Linked DNA regions of Cricetulus griseus. The protein of the gene in region 1 interacts with the protein of each later gene in a pairwise test. Links are inferred from orthologs where the notes say so. Each region holds a gene or a part of one and is shown in the gene's direction. Other genes may lie near its edges.

Region 1 (3,500 bases):
CACCTCTAGAGCACTATTGGTATACTTTCTCTTAAGCACTGCCACTATCCCCATTCACAATGTTCAGGTTTGGTCCTTGAATATTGTTAGCCTTTTGTAGTATTTGCCTTTCTTACTGTTTTTGATGTTTGAATTCAGGGTCCTGTACATGTTAAGCACCACCACTAAACTATATACTCCAGCCAAAGCCCCTAATTTCTTATTCACTTTTTTTTTTTTTTTTTGAGATTTGAGACAGGGTTTCTCTATGTAGACCTGGCTGTCTTAGAAATCGCTTTGAAGACCAGACTGGCCTCAAACTCACAGAGATCCTCCTGCCTCTGTCTCCTGAATACTGGGATCAAAGGCCTGTGCCACCACCGCCCATCAGCAACTAAATTTTTCTTTTCTTTTCTTTTCTTTTTTTTTGAGACAGCGCCTTGCTATGCATCTGGGTGGCTGGGTGGCCTGGAACTTGTTATGTAGACCTTGAACTTACAAAGATCCACCTGCCTCTACTTCTCAAATCCTGGGACCAAAAAAGCTGTGCAACACAACACTCAGCCTGTATATGAGTATTTTATCAGCATATGTATCTGTTTACTACTTGTATGCCTGGTGTCTGCAGGTACCTCCCCCAGGGACGGTCCTAAAATTCTGTTCTTTCTGCCTTCACTTGAGTGCTAGGTTTATCTGTACTCTACCATGCCTGTCTCATGATACATTAAGTTTATTTTTTACTTTTTTTTAGGACAGGAGAGACAGTTAAAAGCACTTGCTCTTCCAGAGGACCTGAGTTCAATTCCAGCACCTACATCAGGGGGCTCACAACTATGTAACTTCAGCTCCAGGGTATACAACACTTCTGGCCTGCTTGGAGCATTGCACTCAACATTCACAGTCCCACAAACAGTCACACACACCTACACACAATTAAAAATACTTTTAAATTGTTTTAAAAAGTTTGTAGCTGGATGTTGATGGCACACGACTTTAATCCCAGCACTCAGGAGGCAGAGGCAGGCGGATTTCTGTGAGTTCCAGTCTAGCCTGGTCTCCAGAGCGAGTGCCAGGATAGGCTCCAAAGCTACACAGAGAAACCCTGTCTCAACCAACCCCCAAAAAAATTTTAAAAAGTTTGATATATATGAATGTTTGTCTGTGTGGTGCCACATATGTACCTGCTGCCTGCACAGGACAGGGTCGGGTCCCCTGGAATTGGAGTTAGAGGTGGTTGTGAGTCACTCATGTAGGTGCTAGGATAAGAGCCTAGGTCCTCTGCAAGAGTAGCAAATTGTCTTAGCTGCTGAGCCAGTTCTTAGTCCCCATTTAAAATTTTTGAGGTAAATCATGTATATGAAGTCAGGTACCAAATTCACTTTTTTGTGTCTGGCTATCTAGTTTTTCCAATACCATTTGTTGAAAAGGACTCTCCTTTCTCCAAATTCTTTTCACTTTTATCAAAAATCAGGAAGTATAATAATTGAAAGCAGTTTTTGGGCTGGGGGTATAGTGCGGCTAATAACTGCGTGCACAAAACACTGAGCACCAGATAAATTGGGTATGGTGGTGCACACGTGTAATCACAGCACTTGGGAGATAAAGACAAGAAATCAGAAGTTAAAGGCTCTGCTACATATGAGTTTGAGGCCAGTCTGGGCTACTGTCTTTAAAATAAAATCTGTTACCATAAAGATAAATTAATTGTACTTTGTCAAAACTAGAAATCTGTGTGTGAAAAATAGGGAGACAAGGAAAGAACTGAGACTATAGGTTGAATATACAGTTTTGGCCTTCGGAAAAAAGGAAATAGCCACTATTTAATGATTCTTTTAGTTGTGATCTCAAGATCGGTGTCTCATATATTTTAGTTTCAAATTCAGCCTTTATTTTTGCCCTTTAGCAATATGACATCTTTTCAATTCTAGTTTTTGTTGTTTTTTTTTTTTTTTCCTGTAAACTGCTTATTTTGAACTTCTCCAGTGTTCCCATTATTCTCCAAGGACTCAGGCATCTGGGTTCTAAATTCCCCAGGTCTCTAGGGAATTAGACCCTTCTCTCTCTTGGCAGGCCCTGATGTCCTCTAGGTGTTTTAGTCCAGCCATATACTGTCTTGGGGGATATTCTTAGCCTTGCTGAAAGTTGCTGGTATTTTAATTGAACTCCGGCAAGCTGCTTTGCACACCAGGAGGCAGAGTAATGGCAAGGTAACTGGAACCCTTAGTAGATCACCAGGTTCCAGACTGTTCTGGTGGAGCTTCTACTTTTTTCTTATCCCATGTTATTTCTAGATTTTGTCAGTATGGTTTCCTTTCTCTTATTCTTTATATCCTTTTCCAATACAGCTTCCTGATTGTTTTAGACTGTTCACATCCCCTGCTAAACCTCTTAATTTTAAAGGTTTCTGATTTCTCTTCCTGATGGCTAAGGTGGTTAAATATATTTACATATGTTTCCTAAATTTTTTTTTCTAGGGCTTTGTGAAGGATGTCCATGAAGACTCTGTCACCATCTTCTTTGAAAACAAGTAAGACCTTGGGAGTAGACAAACATACTAGGTCCTAAAAGGAGAGTGAAAGGTGGAGACTGGTAGGTGGCAGGGAGGAGCTGAGAGTTTGGGTAAGAATTCCAGGAAAGAAAGGGCAGATAGCTAGGTGCAAGTTGTAGTCATTTGATACTTGGTATCAAGGGATAAAAGACCACTATGGAAAAAGAGCCTGTTGTGACTCTTTGACGATCAAGTAGGATAAAAGTGGTCTTGGCAAGGGAGTAATCCCTTGTGAAAAGGTGGACAATTACATCAACCTGAATAGCTTTCATGTCACTGCTTGTCTTGTAGCTGGCAAAGTGAGAGACAGATTCCTTTTGGGGATGTCCGGCTACCACCTCCAGCTGACTATAATAAGGAGATCACAGAAGGTGATGAGGTCGAGGTAAGGCCTGTGAAGTCCAGCTTTCCAGTGTTAGTTTGCCTTTTTCCCCTCAGGATTCTGTTTTTGTTTTTGTTCTGTTTAGTCAAGACAGGGCTTCTCTGGCTGCCTGAAAACTTGTCTGAAGACCAGGCTGGTCCCAAATTCATAGAGATCCACATGACTCAGCTGGATTTTGGGTTTTTAACTTAACTGATTTCATGGGTATGATCTGAGGGTGCACCAGTTTAAAGGGGACACTTCTTTGTGTGTGATAAATCCACTTAAAGTCTAGTCCTGTAGTATACATATGTGAGTTTGAGTGTGAGTGAGACTTGGAATTGAACCCAGCGCCTTGGGCATATTTGTGTGTTTGTGGGGTGTGTATGCATGATTGTAGGCAGGAGTGTGCCACAGCTCACAAGTGGTGGTCAGGACAGCCATGAGCTCTTGGCCACTACAAGAAAAATGAAATAATTAAAACTCAGTGATCTCATACTTTCAGTTAGTATCTCCTTACTCTGGTTTTATTTTTGTGGGCTTAGGAATCCTTTTTAAGTGTCCGAATGCTTTCTCCAATTCTTTTGTTTATTTTTTTAAAGATTTATTATG
Region 2 (4,280 bases), on another chromosome or scaffold:
CAGAGCTACAAACAAAACCAATAAGTAAAAATAAATAAATAAATAAGCAAGCAAATAAATAAAAATTCAGCCTTGGGTTTACATGAGACCCTTTTTCAAAACAGCAAAACCTCTGCCTGATGGTACACACTTTTAATCCCAGCAGTGGAGTAGTGGGGCAGAGGTAGTAGAATCTCTTTGAATTTGAGGTCAGCTAAACAAGAATAAAGATTAAAACAAAAGCTGAGCACAGAAAAAGGGAGGATGTTCAGACAACAGGCTGGATGGATAGATGAGGGAAAGCAACCTCAAAGAGGGAGGTTTTTCTTTATTGGGAACACAGATGGGCAGAATCTTGTGACTGTAGAAATACACCAAGGGAACTATACAAAGAGAGTTTCAGGTCAGACAGGTCCAAATAGATCTCATCTAAAAACATACCACTCTTAGCTGGGTGTTGGTGGCCCACGCCTTTAATCCCAGCACTCAGGAGGCAGAGGCAGGCGGATCTCTGTGAGTTCGAGGCCAGCCTGGTCTCCAGAGCGAGTGCCAGGATAGGCTCCAAAGCTACACAGAGAAATCCTGTCTCGAAAAACCAAAAAAAAAAAAAAAAAAAAAAAAAGCCAAAAAAACCAAAAACCAAAAACCAAAACAAAAAAACAAAAACAAAAACAAAAACATACCACTCCTATAATCGTAGCACTTCTAAAGTGGAGGCAAGAGGTTCAGGAGTTTAGTCATCCTCTGCATCATAGTCTGGTGTACATGAGACCGTTTCTCAAACACTACCCTCTCTCACAAACTAGTCAGAGTGCCGAGTGCTTCATTTTGGGGCTGCTGGCTGATGAGTTTCAAGATTACTGTATTGTATAAATTGAATGAGTTTAAATGTTCTCCAGACATGGAAATAAGTGTAACCAAAGTGAAGCATCGTTGTTTCAAGGGAAAAGGACTCATTTAAAAGTGCTTGTCTTTTGTGCATAATTTAGAGCCACACTCAGTACATGCTGGTGAATGGGACTTCCAGAGCCACTGATAAGTGTTTTAGCTTTTAAAATAGATCTAGGTTTACTAGGCAGAGAGTGTGGCTCAATCGGAGTGTTTGATAGCATGAAAGAAGCCCTGGGTCCGAGCTCCAGCACCGCATGAATGGGGCATGGTGGCACACGCCTGTAAACCCAGCGCTTGGGCAGTGGAGGCAGGAGAACTAGAAGTTGAAGACTAGCCTCCACTACATAGCCAATTAGAGTTCAGTCTGAGCTACTGGAGAACCTGTCTTTAAAAATCAAAAAAGTTTAGAAACCCTGGAGATGCAGGTAAAGTTGTTCAGATCATGGGGCACTGTTTCCGAACCTCCAATTCTTTGTAAAATAGAACAGATGAGCTATTATTCTTCCAAGGTTTGTTTTGAAGAAAAACGTTGGCCGGTGCCCTTACTTCCGTGTTGCTTCACGATCCTTTTGCGCTTGCGCCGGCTCATTGGAACAGAGGGCGGGGCTAACAGGACAACCTTAGAATCGCTCCAGTCCTTAACGCAGTTAGAATGTGAGGCTCGAATCTTATTGGAGCGAGATCTTGCCTTATGGCTTCCGGGCGCATTTTACGGCATTTTACGGCTTTCCATTCACTTCGCTGTGAAGATGGCGTCGGGCAGCGGGGTAGGTGTTGGTGTGAGGAGGTTTGAGGGGTCTGGGGTGGTTTTTCGGAGCTAAATAGAGACAGACTGTGAGACTTGGCCGACTTCCTGACACCTCTTCGTGATCTCAGGGTCAAGGTTCGAGAACTCCCCCCGTAAGGCCTTGGCGCAGGGACAGAGGAATCTCGGAAGTCTCTCGGGTTGGGGTCCCGAGTACCCCAGACCCCCGGGCGTTCCAGAGAGACTTCTCTTTCGAAAGGTCCTGGGCCGCCTTGGTGGCAGTTAGGCGGTTCCCTTAGTTTCTTCAGGGGAACAGGCACAACGACGGATCTTGAGCACTTTTTCCCTCTGCAGACAAAAAACTTGGACTTTCGCCGAAAGTGGGACAAAGATGAATACGAGAAACTCGCGGAGAAGAGACTCACAGAAGAGAGAGAAAAGAAGGATGGTGGGTGCTCCTTCATGAAGGGCTAAGGGGATGGTAGAGTTGATGCAGTGGCTCGAGAAGAAATGTCCCAGCAACAGGATGGTTTCTGTTAGCGTGTGAGGACAAGCAGGCAAAAAACCTAAAGCTTCCTCCTTTTCTTTTACGTGAGCTGCCCCAGGGTGTGATCCATATTCAGGGTGGGTTTCCCCATCTTAAATGATCCATCCTCCTCCCAACAAAAATAAAAAATAAACTGCAAATAAGTGTGCCCAGCTGCTTGGGTGTAGTTGATTCCAGATGTAGCCTAGTTGATAACTAATGTTAGCCATAACACGGCATGAAAACATTGAACATTATGCTACAAAGAGTGAATTACTGTCTTATGAAAGGTTTGCTTCTAGCAAAAATTCAGAACTCAGTGGAGGTGGACAACACCTAGGAAACGCTGTTTAAGTTTGCTGTCTTTAAAGTTGGGAAAAGCTCTTGAGAGTTAGAATCACCATCACAAGTTTGAGGGCAGCCTGGTCTCCATAGTGAGTTCCAAGCCAGTTAGAGTTTTTTTTCTGGCTTCTTTTAACTTCTGCATAAAGTATCTGTTGTGTCCCTTCCTTGAGGAATCCAAAAAAAGAAAGAGTAGTCATCTGAATTTTGGGATTCATACATTTCTTTTCCTTTCTGGCTAATAGACTGTAATACTCACCATTGATCTGATCCCCATACTCAGGAGAAGAGGCAGGGGGATCTCTGTGAATTTGAGGTCAGCCTGATCTACAGAATGATTTCTGGTACAGCAAAAGCTACAAAGAGAAGCCCTGTCTTAAAAACAAACAAAAATAAGAAAGAGAGAAAGGAAGGAAGGAAGGAAGGAAGGAAGGAAGGAAGGAAGGAAGAAACTGTAATACTGAAAATTGTAATACTCTTTCTCATTCTATTTCAGGAAAACCAGTGCAGCCCGTCAAGCGGGAGCTTCTTCGGCATAGGGATTACAAGGTGGACTTGGAGTCCAAGCTTGGGAAGACAATTGTCATTACCAAGACTACCCCACAGTCTGAAATGGGAGGGTGAGTAGCTTTTTGTCCTCTAATACCAAGGCTGGCCTAATATTTATATTGGTTTTAGGATGTGTTGACAAGAATCTCAGGCCAGGGATGGCAACCTTATCTACCATAACTCAATGGTTTGTTTTTCTTTGTCCCCTGAAGTTTGAAGTCTACCCAGTCCCAATTTCAAGAAGGGGTGTTCTGTGGGCTGCTTCATATCAGTAGTATAGTATTTTCTTGATATTTTCAAAGGGGTTATATAATCTGTCATGAAAGCACTGAGGTGTTTTACATGGAACTGTTAACAGTAGTTATACCCCAAGACTGTGACCTATAGAAGAGTTCCACAGAGCTTGTCAGCCTTTTGCCACCATTCCTTCAAGACTGTCAAGTTGAAATTTATATCAGGAGACTCATGCAGATAGTAGTTAGCTACACTTTCTCAGATTCTTCAGTAAACCCACTGTTTTGATGTCTTTGCTGTATAAAATAGCAAGTTAAATATTAAATATCATAAAATAATAATAATAGTTCATAGTTTGTGGGCATAGAATTGAGGGATAGTTGGTTACCGTGGAGATTCTTAATCAGAGTCTCCAATGAAGCTGTAGTCATGGAATTGGCTAAGTTTGCATTCACTGGGGCTTAAATAAAGTTGAAGATTCTCTTTTAGGCTTTCATATGCCTATGGTTTGGAGGCTGAAGTTAATCCTGTGGGCCTATTTGTAAGATTGTTCACAATAAAGCATAAAGAGATGAGTTTCCCTAAATCAAGTCATCCTCACAAAGGCAGAAACCATTCTTTATGATGATATAGTCTTGGAAGTGATATACTATCTCTTTTGACATGTTCTGTTCGTTGCACAGAACACTTTGGCACAGATTGGGAGGAAGCTACAAAGGGTGGGAAGACAAGGAGAGTCAGGCTGCCCTGGAGGATGGAGACTATTTTATAAGGCTTTATGAAAATGCTTCTAAAAAGGTGCTGGGAGCCAGATGAAGTGGCTCATGCCTGTAATACCTGTACTTGGGAGGCTGAAGCAGGAGCAAAGTTAAAGCCTACTTGAGCTACAGGGTTAGAGCTTTTCGTTAAAAACAAAACAAAAAAACTCCCAAAACAACAACAACAACAACAAAAAAAACACAACCAAAAAACCAGGCCTGTGGTACACACACACACATTGTAATTCTAGCACTT
Region 3 (2,374 bases), on another chromosome or scaffold:
AATGAGCTCCTTCCTGGGCCCTTTCCTTTCTGGACCCTGTAATGGAGCCAGGAGATGGTATATATTGTGCAGACAGCAGAGACGGGTCCTTCAGGAGATATTGACCAGGGATAGATGCCAGTTCAGCTAAGAGTTTCCCAGGTTATCATGGCCAAACTAACTCACTATCCTCTGTGCTCTGGGGGCCACTAGATGAGGAACAATGAGGGAAACCAACAACTGGAAAGAGGGACAGAGCAGAAGAATGTACTGCAAGCAGAAGGCAGAAGCACCTCATAGCTAAATGACAGTTTCCACTGAGGGCACCAGATGACGACGAGACAAGACCCAACAGACTAGGTCTGAGTGGTGGGGTGGCCTCACCTCACCCCACCCCCACTGCCTTCCTCACAATGGGGTTCATTGCTGAGGTGTCGGAGGGCATACTAGGGAGGGTGAGGCAGATGCCTACCCACCAGACACCCGCAGGGCCGGAGCCCTTTCAAGCATGAACCATACCATCTGGGCTCCACCACTCCCAGTGTGCTCTTAGCTCTGTGTGAGGCCTGGGGCCCTGGAGGACTTCTTAGAGCTCCTCCAGCAACCATCATGCAAGGTGGTGCTGGGGACTGTCCTTGCTGTGCTAGGAGGTGGAGGCCTCATGCTGTGGGCTCAGAGGAAGAAAAGGAAGACAGCCAGAGAGTCTTCTGGGGTCAGGTCTTCCGAATCCTGCCGAGGAAATGACAGCTGGATCAAATCTCACTTTAGCCGCCTCTCCGAAGAGAGGTTGCCCACCCACCACTATGCCAGCTACAATGGCCCCTCATGTGAAAATAGGCAGGTGGAGGCAAGCACCACTATCCACATGGATACCTTCACCTCCACACATGGAGAAGGGGGCATGGCTCTGCACCGAGATTCCTTTGCCAGCAAACACAAGGTATCTGGGACCTCAGTGACCAAAGAGACCCAGAGGGAGTCAGGAAAGACCTCATCGATGGACAATGAAACATGGGCAGAGGTGGCTGCATGTGCCAAGGACATTGATGCCAAGGGACATCACCTGGCTAATTCCATGCTAAAACGCGCCAAGGTTTACCAGCGTGGAGGCCATGTGGAATCCAAGGACATCAGCCCAGAAGAGCTGAAGGCTCTGGAGGAGGTGGAGATAAAGCTGAAGGGGAATTTCCTCGCTCACCGGGAAAGCACCGTAGCTGGTGCCAACCAAACGCGCACTGTCTATAGCCAGTGTCGCCATGGTCATCAAAACCAGCACAGCTATTCAAACCACCAGAGCAACCAGAATCATCCTGTACACGCTAGCCACCAGTGTCATCATCCAGGTCTCTTGAGCCACCAGGGTTATTCAAGTCATCCAAGCCGCCAGAGTCATCCGGGCCACTCAAGCCACCAGTGTCATCCGGACCACTCAAGCCACCAGAGTCAATCGAGCCACTCAAACCACCAGAGTCAGTCGAGCCACTCAAACTACCAGGGTCTTCCCGGTCACTCAAGCAGCCAGAGTCACCAGGGTCAGCCAGGTCACACAAGCCATCAGAGCCATAGTCTGCCCAGCCGCAGCCAACAAATCTATGACTCTTGAAGCCACGTAACCACGTACCCCTTCCCCCAACAGGGCTGGCTCACATACACAGGCCTGTTTTCTCTTCTCTGGGGAAACCTATGTGGTCCAGGGTGAGAGGCTGCCACCCAAATCCCTACTTCTGGCCCCAGCTGGCATCATGAGGAAGGGAGGAAGGGATGCAGCTACAATAGCCCAAGGGCCCTGAAGACCCACGAGAGAAGACATGAGGCAGATTACAGGAGCAGCCATGAGCCCCACACTGACTCCACATGCCTGAATGGAGCCAATAAAGCCCTACATGCCCTCTGTGTCCAGGGGCTCTGTGTCCATCTGAGTTCTGGGCAGGGTTGGAGGAGTGGGCCTTGGCTGGGGACCTCTCATTGCACCAGACTTAAAACCATAACAGTTTCCCTGGCTTCAGGTACTGGGACTAGTACTGCCAGAGGCTTCAAACCCACCTGCCTACCAAGAGACCAGGATGAAGCCAGGTGATGGGGAGAGGGGACCAGGGTCAGGCTTTCATCACAGAGTAAGCCATAAGTCATCCAGGTAGGACTTTGGGCCCCATCCTCTTGGTGCCATCTCAGGTCCCTGGGGATTCATGAGGATCCATGTGTCCACAGCTCTAAAACTGTAAGAGACACATCTGAGTCATGTCACCGTTGCTTGAGTTGTGACAGTGGCTATTGCATCTGCCACCAATATTCAGACTACTTGGGGCTTTCACTTGTTCTCTTGAGACAGGGTCTCACAATGTAGCCCAGGCTGTCCTGGAACTCACTATGTAGGCCAGGCTAACCTTGAACGCCT
Region 4 (3,500 bases), on another chromosome or scaffold:
GTGTTCACATTAGGATTCGTGACAGTAGCAAAATTCCAGTTAAGAAGCAACAATGAAAATAATTTTATGGTTAGGGGTCACCGCAGCATGAAGAACTGTATTAAAAAGGGTTACAGTATCAGGAAGGTTGAGAGCCACCACATTAGAGGAATATCCTGCCAGGCATCCTGTTGATGGGGGAACTGGAAAAAAGGACCACGAAGCAAAATGAAAACGTGCTTTATTTTCCATTTTTGCTTTAGAAAACCACTGATGGGGAGCCTTCTGCAAAGGATGCCCTGCAGCCAGGCCGGAACCTGGTGTCAGCCGGCTATGCACTCTATGGCAGCGCCACAATGTTGGTCCTTGCCGGGCAGTCTAGTGTCAACTGCTTCATGCTGGACCCGGTGAGACACTTCTGAGGTTGGGTGCTTGCCTAGTAGCTTTGAGCTTGTACATGGTGTGTGTGTGTGTGTGTGTGTGTGTGTGTGTGTGTGTGTGTCCCAAGTGTGTAATGTCCACGGAGGTCAGAAGAGGGTGTTTGATTCCCTGGAACTGGAATTACAGGTGGTTGTGAGCCACCCAGCATAGGTGCTGCAAACCTATTCTGAGTCCTCTGGAAAAGCAGCAAGTGCTGAACCATCTCTCCAGCCCCACTCCCCTTTTTCCTGTAAACAAGGACATCAGCAAACCACACACACACACACACACACACACACACACACACACACACACACACACACACACACACAAAGCACAGCAGGTGTCCTCTTCGAGAGGCAGTTCTCTCTTGAGAGTGTGTGGGGTGTGGCAAACTGCTGCCAATCAGAACATGGGCTACCTTTGATCCTAACACAACTGCACTTTCACCTCCCTGGAGCACGGGCACTTAATAAATAATGTAAGACTGAAGTAGAGATTGACAGCATACATCACAGATCTGGGCCTGGGGCCCCAGGGGAAATAGGGCAGCTTCTGAAAGCAGCAGTGTTTGCTGCAGTGTCACTTGTCTAGGCTGTCCAGTCGCCCTGATCAGCTCCTGGTGCCCTCTCTGCTGCCTCTGAGTTGATAGACTGAAATTCTGTCTATGGTTGCAGATGTGCTTGTGGAGGGTGGATTTCTGGGTGCTGGGCGGCCTCCCTCCCCTCCTCCCTCCCTCCCTCCCTCCCTCCCTCCTTCCCTCCCTTCCTCCCTCCCTCCCTCCCCAGATACGGATGTTTGTTGGATCAGCACAGCGGCTGAAATGCTCCCCTTGCTGACTGCCAGGGCTCCATTTGACTTCAACACTTCTGCTTGGCTCTCTTTGGCCTGATAGAGGTGAAGTTACCCCAGGGAGATGCCAGGTGCCTCCCTTTTCCTCTTGTCTCCCATCTAGGATAAGCTGATGGCTGAGACCATGGATAGAATATCTCCATGTGGGTTTCTAGCAGGCTTCAGCTTTGAATGAGCTTTCATAACTCCTGTCTCCAAATGTGGGAGACTCTCCTCCTTCACCCACTGGGTGCTTAGGCTGGGTACAAGATGGCTGCCTGGGGAGCATGGCTGCCTGAGCTCTGCAGGGGTCTCCGGGTTTCTAGACATTTTAGGTGGAGATACTTACTTTGTCTTCTTGACTGTACAAAAATATTTCTATAAAATTATGGCTCAAAGTTTTAGGAATAACAACAACAACAACAACACCAACAACAACAAAAGCACAAAAACAAAAAAGAGGAGACAGACACACTTGTGGCCATACATTTCTGTGACTGTGGTTAATTCCCTCTTCTCCCCACCCTTTCCTAGCCTCAACATCCCTCCATGTCTTCAGGAATGAGTTAGCAGTCTCTTGGTTTGTATTTCACATACTCCCTCCATTCCTGTCTGTGTCTGAATGGTTTTTCTTTCTTCATTCTTTGACAGTGTCATATAATGAATTTGGTCAGTTTCATCTCCCATTCTTTCTAGCTAGTCCTCTCCTATTTTCCTTCTTCCCTCCCTCCTTCCTCTCTCCCTCTCTCCCTGTTTGTGAATCAAACAGAGATTCATTCATTGCTTGTATGGGGGGCAAGGGCAAGGGCTATTTCTGGGGGATGAGCAATTTATCAATGACTATTACAGTGAAGAAAACGATACCTTCTTCCTAGGAACCATTTACTGACAATAGTCCTTCAGGGAGGGTATGGCCACATGAGCCCCCTTCCTATCTATGATTTTGGAGGTAGGGTCTCACAGTGCAACCCAGGTTGACTTAAACTCCTAATCCTCCTGCCTCAGCCTCTCTGGTATTGAGGTTAGAGTTGTGCTCTCCCATGTCTGGCCTTGTAAACTTTCTTGTTTTATGAAAATCATTAGCACCCTTAAACCCTGGCTTCCCTTTACTCCTTCCATCCTGCTCACCACTAGAGCCTTTGGCTGCTGCAATCAATGTGCCTTGGGGTGAGATATGGTCACAGGTCATGCTTTGTTCATGCCCGGGGGAGCTTGCTGGTCATAGGTCTACCTTCTCCCTTGTTTCAAAGGCCGTCGGAGAGTTCATTCTGGTGGACAAGGATGTGAAGATCAAGAAGAAAGGTAACATCTACAGCCTTAATGAGGGCTATGCCAAGGACTTTGACCCTGCCATCGCCGAGTATATCCAGAGGAAAAAGTTTCCTCCAGTGAGTGAGTAGGCAGGCGGGACTGGTGTGGTATTCAGCTTTGGGAGGCGTGCCCTTTAAAGGAAAAGGGACACTTGGCACCGAGAAGGGTCTGGACTTTATCTGGGACTCTTGCTTTATGAGTAAATCCACTGATGTGAATTATCCTGGAGATGAAAGGGGAGAGAGGTAGAAACCCCTGAAGCTAAGTACTGGGGCTGGAGTGCTTGCATGGAGACACCAAAATTTGAGTATTATTTAGTCTTTATCTCCAAGCATAATCTGGACAATAAATTCAACCAGATGAGCTCCTTTACAATAATAATAATAACAATACATCTGTGTTTCTGAGACCTCTTAGCCCCCAAGCATCTACCGCGTGAGGTCTGCACCTTCACCCCCATGTCTTTGATGGATTTCTGTCTGTTGTATCAGGATGGTCAGTGTCAGGCAGGGAGATGACTCAATGGGTAAATTGCTTGCTTCACAAGCTTGGGGACTGGGGATCCCCCCCCCCAGGTCCAGCTTACAGGCAGCCTGCTTGTAATACCAGAGTAGGGAGGCAGAGAAGGGATCCCCTGAGTGAGCAGTAACCTGGGAGAGACAAATCAGAAGCTCTGGGTTCATGTGAAAGACCGGGTCTCAATATATAAGGTGGAGAGTAATGGAGGAAGACACCAGACATCAACCTCTAGCTTCCACATGCACATATTAACCTATGTACATACCTACATGCATGCTCTCAAACATACACAGACACACACACACACATAGACACAAACACACACACACACACACAGACATACACACAGACACACACCAGAGACACACACACAGACATATACACACAGATACACACACAGACACACACCAGAGACACACACACAGACATACACACAGACA
Region 5 (3,500 bases), about 23 Mb from region 1:
GGAGCTTTTGATTCTCCTACTTACAGGGTATTTGGATTATAGGCCTGCGTCACCATACCAGACACAACTTTGCTTTTTAAAGTACAAGAAGAAGGGTAGGATGGGTGGTGGTAAGAAGCAAGATAGGATGAGAAGTGTTCAGGGACTACATAATGATAATGTCAGGGCTGTGCTGTTAAATCACCAGTGCTGAGAAATTATGGCAAGTACCATATTTAGCATTTTATTTATTTTGACTTTTTGAGACAGGGTCTGCCTGTTCTTTAGCTGTGAAGAGACACCATGACCCCTGCAACTCTTATAAAAGAAAGCAGTTAATTAGGGGCTTGCTCATAGTTTCAGTGGTTTAGTCTATCATCATCACGACAGGGAGCATGGCTGTGCACAGGCAAACATGGTGCTGGAGAAGTAGCTGAGAGTTCCACATCTGGATCTGAAGGCATTAGAAAGAGGGAACCATTGGGTTTGGCTTGGACCTTTGAAACCTCAGAGGTTAAGAGCACTGCCTGATATTTTAGAGGTCCTGAGCACAGTTCCCAGCAACCACATGGTAGTTCACAGCCATCTGTAATGAGATCCGGTGCCCTCTTCTGGCATGCAGGCAGAGCACTGTATATGTAATAAATAACTCTAAAAATAAATAAATAAATAAATAAATAAATAAATAAGGAGAGAAAAAGCAAAACAAAGAAGAAACAATTTCAGAGGTGAAAATAATTTAAAAAAAAAAAAAGGAAAAAGAAACCTCAAGACACACTTCCTCCAACAAGGCCACACCTCCTAATCCTTTTTAAGTAGTGCTACCCCCTGATGACTAAGCATTTAAATATATAAGCCCATGGGAGCCATTATTAAAACTACCACATTCCATTTCCTGGCCCCCTTAGGTTTATAGCCATATCACAATGCAAAAATGCATTGAGTCCAACTTCAGATGTCTCCATAGTCTATCATAGTATCAGCACTATTTAAAAGTTCAGTTTCTCTTGAGACTCATGACATTCTCTAATTGTAACCCCCTGTATAATCAAAATAAAAAAGCAAATAACCAACTTCCAACATACAATGACACAAAATATATATTACCATTCCAAAAGGGAGCACAGTGAAGAGATAGTCTGGACCAAACCAAGACCTAAAACTGGCAGGGCAAACTCCAAACTCTGTATGTCCATGTCTCATGTCAAAGAACTCTTCAGATCTCCCACTCCTTTCAGTTTTATTGACTGCCATATACTTTTAGCTCCTGAGCTGGTTCCACACCCCTTATGCAGCTTTTCTTGGCAGGTATCCCATGACTCTGGCATCTCCAACATCTTGGGGTCTCCAAAATAGGGTCTTTCCTGGGACTCTCTTATGTGGACCAGGCTGGCTTTACAGAGATCCACCTGCCTCTACCTCTGGAGTGGTGGGATTACCTCAATGGCAATATTTAGCATTTCAAAAGGCCACTGGCTATCACATGAATGAATCTGGGAAGGATAAGAGTAGGGGCAGGGTGACCAGAATCCCTAGTCCTGGAACAAGTAGGCATTCTGTTTAATCTAGTGAATGAGAGGACCCAATTCTGGAGCCTTTTTCTTTTGTTTAGAATCACTAGATGCCAGGTTTTCTACTAAGTTTTTCTTCCTTGACTGTGTCTTCTCTTGTCCTTTGGAGGTCTGGGAGGGGTTGAATGTTGTGAAGACAGGCCGGGTGATGCTTGGAGAGACCAACCCTGCAGACTCTAAACCTGGGACCATTCGAGGAGACTTTTGCATCCAAGTTGGCAGGTAAGAATTGGTGTTTTTCACTTTTTTCCAAAATCCAAGTTAGTTGCTACAAGAATTTGGGCCTCTGAGGCTAGAAATGGACATGATAGCATCTGCAGGTCAATTTATTTTTATTTTAAAGATTATTTATTTATTTATTTATTTAGGTTTTTTCGAGACAGGGTTTCTCTTTGTAGCTTTGGAGCCTATCATGGCACTCACTCTGGAGACCAGGCTGGCCTCGATCTCACAGAGATCCACCTGCCTCTGCCTCCCAAGTGCTGGGATTAAAGGCGTGCGCCACCAATGCCCAGCAAGATTATTTATTTATTATGTATATAGTGTTTTGCCTACATGTATGCCTGCAGGCCAGAAGAGGGCACCCAGCCTCATAGTGGTTGTAAGCCACTATGTGATTGCTGGGAGTTGAACTCAGGACCCCTGGAAGATCAGTCAGTGCTTTTAATCACCGAGTCATCTTTCTAGCCCCCTATTTATTTTATTTTAGCTTTTAAAGATTTATTTATTTATTATGTACGCAGTGTTCTGCCCGCATGTATGTCTGCACACCAGAAAAGGGCACCAGATCTCATTACAGTTGGTTGTGAGCCACCATGTGGTTGCTGGGAACTGAACTCAGGACCTCTGGAAGAGCAGCCAGTGCTCTTAAACCTCTGAGCCATCTCTCCAGCCCTATTTTAGCCTTAAAGCTTATTTTATTTTTTACTTGTTCTTCATGTATATGGACAGTTTTTTTTGTCTGTATATTTCTTGGTGCCCAAGGAGGCTAGAACAAGGCATTGGATCCCCCAGAAATGGAGTTACAGATAGTTGTGAGCCTCATGTGGATGGTGGGAACTAAACCCAGATTCTCTGGAGGACTAGCCAGTGCTCTTAAAGGCATCTCCTCTGCCCCTATTTTAGTTGTTTTGTTTGTTTGGTTGCCTTTGATAGTTTGAGATAGGATTTCTCTGTGTAGCCTTGGCTGTCCTGGAACTAGCTGTTGGCCTTGAACTCACAGAGTTCTGTCTGCTTCTGCCTCCCAAGTGCTGGGATTAAATAAAAGCATGTGCTGCCGCCACTACCACCAGGCAAGTTTAGCTGCTTTTGAGACAATGTCTTAAGTATGCTAGCTGGCCTCAAAATTGCTATCCTTGAATTCCTGATAGTCTTTTCTTTCTCCCTCCTTCCTTCCTTCCTTCTTTCCTTCCTTCCTTTCTCCCTTCCTTCCTTCCTTCCTTCCTTCCATCCTTCCTTCCTTCCTTTTCTTCCTCTTTCCCTCCCTCCCCCTCTCTCTCTCTCTCTTTCTTTCTTTCTTTCTTTCTTTCTTTCTTTCTTTCTTTCTTTCTCTTTCCTTTCTTTTTCTTTTTTCTTTCTCTTTCCCTCCCTCCTTTCCTCCCTCCCTCCCTCCCTTTCTTCCTTTCTCTTTCCTTTTTCTTTTTTCTTTCTGTCTCTTCCTCTCCTCCCCTCCTCCCCTTCCTTCCTTCCTTCCTTCCTTTCTTTCTTTCTTTCTTTCTTTCTTTCTTTCTTTCTTTCTTTCTTTTTTTTTTTTTTTTTGAGACAGGGTTTCTCTGTGTAGCCCTGGCTGTCTTGGAACTTGATCTATAGACCAGGCTGGCCTTGAACTCAGAGATTCTCCTGCCTCTGCTTCCTGAGTGCTGGGATTAAATGTGTGAGCCATCACTTCTTGGCTCAGGTCACTTTTAAATGGGAGTTTTGTCTTCTGCCTCTGAAGGTGGAGGCTGACTT
Region 6 (3,500 bases), on another chromosome or scaffold:
CTTAACCTTTTTCTTACTGCCTTTAATATATCTTTTGGCTGGTGATTCTGAGCATGGAATTGTCAGTTGAACCTGGAAGTGACTCACAATCACATTGATACAGGATACTCTTAACATAATAACGTAAGCTCACTTTGGGTTCTAAATCTCACTTTTTCCACTGTTAACTTCTGTGGATCTCTAGAGTTAGCCTTTCAGAACAGGTATGGCAGTGGCAAAATCTCAGGTGCACCAATCAGTTGTGTGCACCTCAAGAGAAAGGGTTTGTTGAGGGAGCAAGTGCATGTGTCACTAATGTTATTCCTCTGTTCTTCCTGCTAACTCTATTATTATAAACCATCAGGGGATAGAAATTGGCAAGAATTGAAATGCTCAGCAGGATTCCTTAGCCCATTCAATCCCTTGCTGGCTCAAAACAGTGCTGGCAAGAATTGCTGTGGAGAACGACTAGCCTCATGCACTCACTGTCCCGCACCACGCTGCATTTCTCACTGATGGCTCTCTGCATTTGGAATATAGCCCTGGAATGGAACATAGCCTTTTTTTTCTTTTTTTTTTTTTAATACCCTAAGACCAGTGAAAGGATAGAAAGAATAGAGAAGTGTAGGCCTCTTATATATATTTTGAGGTGTTTCCAAGGAAAAGAAAATGAGTCTGTTTAGTCTTTAAATATAAAAGATTAAGAGGGTTTGTAATTTTATTTACAGTTTGACTTATCACAGATGTGTTAAACTTAAGCTTAAAAAATACATTATAATGTGTTACTGTATTTTTAAAGACTTTTCAGTTGGTCTAAGAAAAAGAATTAGTTTTTAAAAATCGGATTTCATATCAGATTTCATGAAATAACAAAAGACTTTAACTCATTTTACACCCATTTTTTTTTTTACCAAATAATTATGGAAATTTAACAGAAAATTTACTGCCAATGTATAGCTTTACTATTACTTCAAGCATTAGCATATGTTTCTAGGTTAATGCATTATATAATATATATTATTCATATATTACAATTGTGCTAATATTTAATTGTATGAGTATGTTAACATATTCCTGTTTTCTTTCCTTATAACTTATTTGTCCATACATAATTGAAAAGAAATTGTAGTTTTCACCTTGGTAAAAATATTGGGAAAATTTTCACAATGTATCTTTTCTAAAATTACAGTTTATAAAAAGTAGGATTGAGAGCGATGCCCTTTTGTTTGGCCTTTTTAAAATAAACATTGGAAATCTAGGAACAGAGGGAAAGTGTGCTGTGCTTGAGATTTCAGTGTGTGTTGTACTTGAGGCTTCAGGATCTTTTTAAGTCTATAAAGTTCTGAGACCTAAAAAAAAAAAAAAAAAAACTGTAAAATATACAATCAGTCCCTCTGTTATATGTTCACTAATTTGGTAATAACAAAAATGCTGAAATTTTTAAAAGATAATTTGGTAAATTGTCTTCTGTTTATATAATGGAGTTAGAATATGGGGCTCTAGAATATATGAATTATTTTCTCCAATAATTTTGAGTAATAACTCATTTTATTAAAAATTATCAGAAGTTTTGTCACTTAATGGTTTCTCTATATGTATATCTGAACGTTACATAAAAATATTACTTGTGATTCAATTCAGAGGATAAAGACCACCCAAATTATTCTGTATGTGATAGTAATGTAATTATTAGTCCTTTAAAATTCTCCCATGAGTAAAATATGAATTATTAGGAGTTTATCATAATCTCATAATTTTTAGTTAAGAATATATTTGAACTAAATTCATCCAAATTCTCCCTAGAAAATAGTTGTGCAAGGACTGATGCCGTCTTTACTCCTTATCCTGGATTTAAAAGTCACGTAAAGGGTAAGTAGCTGCTGTATAGTATATGTCACTGGCAAAAGTTTGTTGTAGCTTCATAACAACGTGGAATAGAAATACTTTTCCCATCTAAACTTTATTCTAAACCGAAGGCATTGCCTTTCTTCCTTTTTGAGCTTCTGGTTAGGTGACCATTATGGAAAAGATATACTGTAAGGGAGAGAGAATTTCTGCTTTTGGAGCATAAATTCACATAGGCTTAAAAGTTTCTTAACTTAGTTTCTAGAGTTGTGAATACATATGGACCACAGACTAGACCCGAAGGAATTCCAGGGTCAGGTCACAAACCTACCGGCATGCTTCGAGACTGTGGCAACCAGGCTGTGGAAGAACGACTCCAGAATATTGAGGCCCACTTGCGATTGCAGACGGGTAAGTAGAGAGTTAGGTGATGTTCTGTAATGTGCTTTTGCAAGTCTTAAGGAAATTAGATTCATTTAGCTTCCGGAGTTTCCCCAAACATTCACTGTAAAGCCCTCGTTCTAGGTGCATAAAACAGTTGCTACTGTCGAGGAATCTGTAAAGTTCTCAGTGTTCATGCTTTCTCTTCTTATACTTCTTGACACTTTCTAAATTGGGAAACAGATCTAGATAGATTTTGTTAGCCTCGGTTTATTGAAGTTCCAACAAAAAATGAATGTAATGTGTTGCTATGGCCAATTTCAGAACTTGTATGACTACCTCTAATTGTTATTAGCCCTTCTGCCAGCTACAAAAATGTAGATAAATGTGGTCCTGGTCTTCAGTGCATTCCTGACAATAAACACATAAATGAGTAAGTATCCTGGGGGAAATGAGCCCATATTTTTTGAACAATACTGTCTCTGAAAGTGCCGTGCCTATATCAACTTAGTGATTAACAGAACTCTGTGGAGGTGTGTGCTATTACTATTGGAAAGGTAGTAAGACTGAAGTCCAAAGAGCTCAGGCAGCCTCCCAGGATATTATAGTAAGTGACAGCTAGGAAGCAAATAGTCTTACCCATTTAGTTACCATGCTCTTAATTCTCCTAAATGTCCCTGCATGTTTCTTCTTCTGCCTCCACAGCTACTGCTGTAGATGAAACTACTGTAATCTCTGTCTTGGAGTGATAGGTCTGTTGGTCAACTAGGTCATTTTCACCCTGTGACCAAATTGCTGTTTTTCAAGCTCATATCTGATGTTGTTTGTACCCAGCTAAAAATTCTTTACTAGTTCTCTGGAGCTCTCAAACGCATAGCAAACTCAGTACTTAGCAGAGAGACTGTGGTCTAGACCAGGCAGGTCTCAGGGATGATACTTGAAACAGTAGAAAGATTCTAAATATAATAATGAACTTGATGTCTAAGTATCTTTAAAACACCACGCCCTCCTCTAAAAGAACTGTCATTGAGAATTATGGGAAAACTCCTTTAAACATTTTTCTAGGTCAAAGGAGAAAATATACCATGCTAGGAGAAATAGGATTTGAAGAGAATGATAGGATAAGCACAGCCATCAAGTGGAACTGTCATCTTGTGACTTCAGTATTTTTCCTTCTAAGTAACTACAACATCTATTAGAAACACTTTCTATACGGAAACTATTCAGTATCCCATAAAATGAATTTTGTAAAACAACTTGTAGCAATATGGGATGCATAAGCAATATTTAGAAAG
Region 7 (3,500 bases), on another chromosome or scaffold:
ATGTCTTTACTCTCAAAACTTACTAACACGGAAGAGGAAAAATTGCTACAATTTCCACTATTTTTTTTTCATTGAGAATTTCCTCTGTTGCATGGGAGAGATTGAATGTCTTTATGCTCTGTTAAACATGATGACATTTTTAGATCAGCAGAAATCTAGGTCAGACTTCTGTAGTCTTCAAAGCATTACCTTTCATTAAGACCAAATGGGAACTGGAGAGTGTCAAAGCAGCCCCTGCGTCGTTCATTAAACTGATGAATTCTTAGATATGTAGTACAAATGAGGCTTTCTAAAGGGCGCTGCTGTTATGAAAATGATTGAGGAACTAATTTTCAGTTGATTTTAGTCTTGATGAAAATACATTCAATCACAGCATTAGATGACATGGCCCATGTTTGTGAATTATTCTTGAAGGTAAGACAGTAATTTCTGTGGAACCAGTTGAACCAATAAAGCAGTCTATACTTTAATGTATATTCCTGTGCAGAAACCTGGTAGATACAAAGAAATACCATCTATATAGCACAACTTTAACAAAGCAAAATGATTGTATATGACCTTGATTTTGAAGGCCAAATATATATGTTTCTTCTTGCAGGCTAGATGGTCAAGTCAATGGATTCACCAACACTCAACTCAAGGAGTCCACGAGAACCTCTGTCTATTCTTATGATGTCAGAAATAGCCTCAGGTACTAAAGACAGTTATAAAACCAATGACAGGACTATTCCTGTGTCTACTTATTTACATGCAAGCTAGCCATTTGTTTTAAAGCATGGAACTTTTGATATGTAAATACTCTTACATGAAATTGTTGAGTCAACAACTCAATTATTGCTGGGATGCACATAGAATAATATAAAATGTGATTGTTGCTTTAATGTCTAAAATCACATAAAACAAGATTATGACATTGATGTTGATATTCTTCTTTTAAAGATTTATTGATTTCATTTTATGTGTATGTATGTATACCCAAGTCTATGTATGTGCACCACACATCTACTGATACCCACAGAGTCCAGAATGTATCAGATCTCTGGAACAGGAAATGTAGGTGACTGGGAGCCACCCAATGTGGGTGCTGGGAACTAAACCTGGGTTCCCTGCAACAACAAGTGCTCTTACCTACTGAGCCATCTCTCTAACCCAGGCATTCACATTCTTGAATGAGATCTTCCTGACTATATCATTGAACCTGAGGTTTGAATAGTCAATTAAAGTTCACTTTTAACTTAAGGTTTATTGGGGAAATCTATGGTTTAGAAATGAACTAGGCATCAGGGAAACAGATACTAAAAAACAGTACATAGACAGTTAAAATCATCGGCATGCTCTAAGACAATTTTATTAAATCATTAGTTTTCACATTAATAATACTAAAGCAGAACAAGACAGGGATGTTAAGAGTTAAATGGGAGAGGTGGAAAATTTTTTCAGAGGTTGATTAATAACACTTGAACATTTTCATTTGAACAGTTGGTTTAGAAGATATATATATCCTTATAAGGTACATACATACACACATATATACATATGTATAAATATATATATTACATTTTGCATTTTATTGGAAAATGTTTTTGCTTTTATCATCCTCACAAGTGACATTTTAACATGAAACTCAATGGTTTTATTGTAGTTCCGATACTGGAACCAGGAATGCTGGGCCTAAGGACACAGTTGTCTATACAAGGACATATGTGGAGAGTAGGTAATGGAAAAGTGCTTCAGATATTTCATTTCTTTTTACAGCTGTGAATGATCCATGCTGCTTAGGAGGTGCTACCATTTCAGGGTGTGCCTCCTTCATAGAGAGGACAGTTTAATATATTGTAAGTTCTATGCAGACAATGTTTATGTTGTGCGCAACATAAGTAGTTGATAAATGACTTATAGTCACTAAATATACTCAAAAGAATTGCAAATAACTAATGAGTAAGTAATAAGATTCACAATCAGATGTTATTACATAAATGTGCATAACTATTTGGTTATAACAAACTTTTTCATCTCAATCACCTTAATGCAAAGGCTCTACTACTTACTCCCAATTTAACACAGAAGACATATCTTTAGGTCAACATATCATGACCTAAATTGCAGACTATTGATGTCCTATGAAACTGTCTGCTTGGAATGAAGGATGTCAACAAAAGTATAACAGAGGACATGGATTCAAGGAGTATAAAAAATGAGAACTGGCCTAATTATAGGTTAATATAATGGAAAGTCCATAAATGCAGACACATGTGACATGTGTGAATTTATTTCAATGAAGCCCAAGACAACAAATAGTTCAGGGAATCTTCTGTGTGCATGGGAACTCCCAAGGACAACTCAAGACCTCTTTGGGTCAAACCTGTGTGTAATTTACACATATAGCTTCCAAAGTAATTTTTTCTTAATTCAATTTTTGCTCCGTTGTGGCCCCATGACAGTAATTCTTGCTAACATTTAATTAAACTAAAAGACAAAACATTTGAGAGAAAAATAATAAGTAGTTACTGAATCTGAAAGAAATAGGCACATATATAAATAGCATGGGGATGATATAATGACAAGACACAAAATATTGGCAAGTAGGATAAAAGAATAGGCATTGATTCTATGCTTACATGACACTCTGTTTTCATACATTGGTAACCCTATGAGATAGCATATCAACACATTTTGATTTCTAAAGAAATGTCTCATTGAAACAAAGTCCAACAACTGTGGTATCAATTTTTACAAAACAGTAAACCTCTAGAATTAGGCTTGGTCTACTAAATACTACTTTCCAGATTTTTTTAACTTATTGAATAATTCATTAAAATATCAACTTGATTTATACAAGTACAGAAACTAAACCACATTTGAATTATTTAGCCCCATTGGCTATGGTTTGCCTATGTAAACTGCTGTGCACATGGTATCGGAATATCTGTGTGTATGGCATTGGAATATCTGTGTGTATGTGTACAGACAGCAATTCTCAAGTGTGATTTCTGTGCTGGATTCAACAGTATCGCTTCAGACTTGTTACAAGTGGAAATTACTTGGTCCCATCCCAGACCTGAAGAATCATAAACTCTGCCATTGGGGTCCTGGCCATCTGTGTTTTAACAAATTCAATGTGCTTTTGACGCAAATGCAGATTTGAAAACTGTAGCTATAAAAGATAATATTGTATCATGTCAGACCAATAATATGTAGGTTAGAATATTCTAAAAGGATATATTTGCTACTGTTTGTTTCTTACCCTAAGGCGACAGTGATGTCCCTCAAATATCTCCAGCTTTCTTAAAGTGTACACTGAAGGATGCACAGTGTATTGTGAAGTCTCTAGAGTTAGGTTCAGGATTGAGTTATTGTTTGTCATTTACAAACCCAATAGCCTTGGCAAAGGTGCACGTGTGTGTGTGTGTGTGTGTGTGTGTGTGTGTGTGTGTGTTGTGTTGTGTGTGTGTTGGTATTTTAATTTACATTAAACTATTTTACTTACTTAAATTACTTAA

Evidence for each region.
Region 2: the proteins of Fxr2 (region 1) and Zmat2 interact in binary tests that used the Homo sapiens proteins (3 or more experiments, as listed by UniProt). The two-hybrid records come from large-scale screens. The link is inferred for Cricetulus griseus from reciprocal best matches to the Homo sapiens genes FXR2 and ZMAT2.
Region 3: the proteins of Fxr2 (region 1) and CUNH10orf62 interact in binary tests that used the Homo sapiens proteins (3 or more experiments, as listed by UniProt). The two-hybrid records come from large-scale screens. The link is inferred for Cricetulus griseus from reciprocal best matches to the Homo sapiens genes FXR2 and C10orf62.
Region 4: the proteins of Fxr2 (region 1) and fructose-1,6-bisphosphatase 1 interact in binary tests that used the Homo sapiens proteins (3 or more experiments, as listed by UniProt). The two-hybrid records come from large-scale screens. The link is inferred for Cricetulus griseus from reciprocal best matches to the Homo sapiens genes FXR2 and FBP1.
Region 5: the proteins of Fxr2 (region 1) and nucleoside diphosphate kinase A interact in binary tests that used the Homo sapiens proteins (3 or more experiments, as listed by UniProt). The link is inferred for Cricetulus griseus from reciprocal best matches to the Homo sapiens genes FXR2 and NME1.
Region 6: the proteins of Fxr2 (region 1) and Mbip interact in binary tests that used the Homo sapiens proteins (3 or more experiments, as listed by UniProt). The two-hybrid records come from large-scale screens. The link is inferred for Cricetulus griseus from reciprocal best matches to the Homo sapiens genes FXR2 and MBIP.
Region 7: the proteins of Fxr2 (region 1) and Scel interact in binary tests that used the Homo sapiens proteins (3 or more experiments, as listed by UniProt). The two-hybrid records come from large-scale screens. The link is inferred for Cricetulus griseus from reciprocal best matches to the Homo sapiens genes FXR2 and SCEL.

The regions. Positions count from the first base shown.
Region 1 is NC_048600.1:83,483,175-83,486,674, forward strand, and holds part of Fxr2 (fragile X mental retardation syndrome-related protein 2), read left to right. Parts: intron 1-2,453; coding exon 2,454-2,506; intron 2,507-2,818; coding exon 2,819-2,912; intron 2,913-3,500. UniProt on the Homo sapiens protein: mRNA-binding protein that acts as a regulator of mRNAs translation and/or stability, and which is required for adult hippocampal neurogenesis. Specifically binds to AU-rich elements (AREs) in the 3'-UTR of target mRNAs.
Region 2 is NC_048595.1:200,734,123-200,738,402, reverse strand, and holds the start of Zmat2 (zinc finger matrin-type protein 2), read left to right. Parts: upstream 1-1,480; 5' UTR 1,481-1,619; coding exon 1,620-1,637; intron 1,638-1,969; coding exon 1,970-2,063; intron 2,064-2,979; coding exon 2,980-3,103; intron 3,104-4,280. UniProt on the Homo sapiens protein: Involved in pre-mRNA splicing as a component of the spliceosome.
Region 3 is NC_048596.1:19,496,463-19,498,836, reverse strand, and holds the end of CUNH10orf62 (uncharacterized protein C10orf62 homolog), read left to right. Parts: intron 1-192; 5' UTR 193-640; coding exon 641-1,582; 3' UTR 1,583-1,874; downstream 1,875-2,374.
Region 4 is NC_048596.1:280,490,886-280,494,385, reverse strand, and holds part of fructose-1,6-bisphosphatase 1, read left to right. Parts: intron 1-242; coding exon 243-386; intron 387-2,480; coding exon 2,481-2,618; intron 2,619-3,500. UniProt on the Homo sapiens protein: Catalyzes the hydrolysis of fructose 1,6-bisphosphate to fructose 6-phosphate in the presence of divalent cations, acting as a rate-limiting enzyme in gluconeogenesis. Plays a role in regulating glucose sensing and insulin secretion of pancreatic beta-cells.
Region 5 is NC_048600.1:106,872,426-106,875,925, reverse strand, and holds part of nucleoside diphosphate kinase A, read left to right. Parts: intron 1-1,659; coding exon 1,660-1,772; intron 1,773-3,500. UniProt on the Homo sapiens protein: Major role in the synthesis of nucleoside triphosphates other than ATP. The ATP gamma phosphate is transferred to the NDP beta phosphate via a ping-pong mechanism, using a phosphorylated active-site intermediate.
Region 6 is NC_048598.1:146,092,768-146,096,267, forward strand, and holds part of Mbip (MAP3K12-binding inhibitory protein 1), read left to right. Parts: intron 1-1,782; coding exon 1,783-1,848; intron 1,849-2,082; coding exon 2,083-2,235; intron 2,236-2,560; coding exon of another isoform or gene 2,561-2,586; exon of another isoform or gene 2,587-3,500. UniProt on the Homo sapiens protein: Inhibits the MAP3K12 activity to induce the activation of the JNK/SAPK pathway. Component of the ATAC complex, a complex with histone acetyltransferase activity on histones H3 and H4.
Region 7 is NW_023276807.1:255,218,610-255,222,109, forward strand, and holds part of Scel (sciellin), read left to right. Parts: intron 1-598; coding exon 599-691; intron 692-1,642; coding exon 1,643-1,714; intron 1,715-3,500. UniProt on the Homo sapiens protein: May function in the assembly or regulation of proteins in the cornified envelope. The LIM domain may be involved in homotypic or heterotypic associations and may function to localize sciellin to the cornified envelope.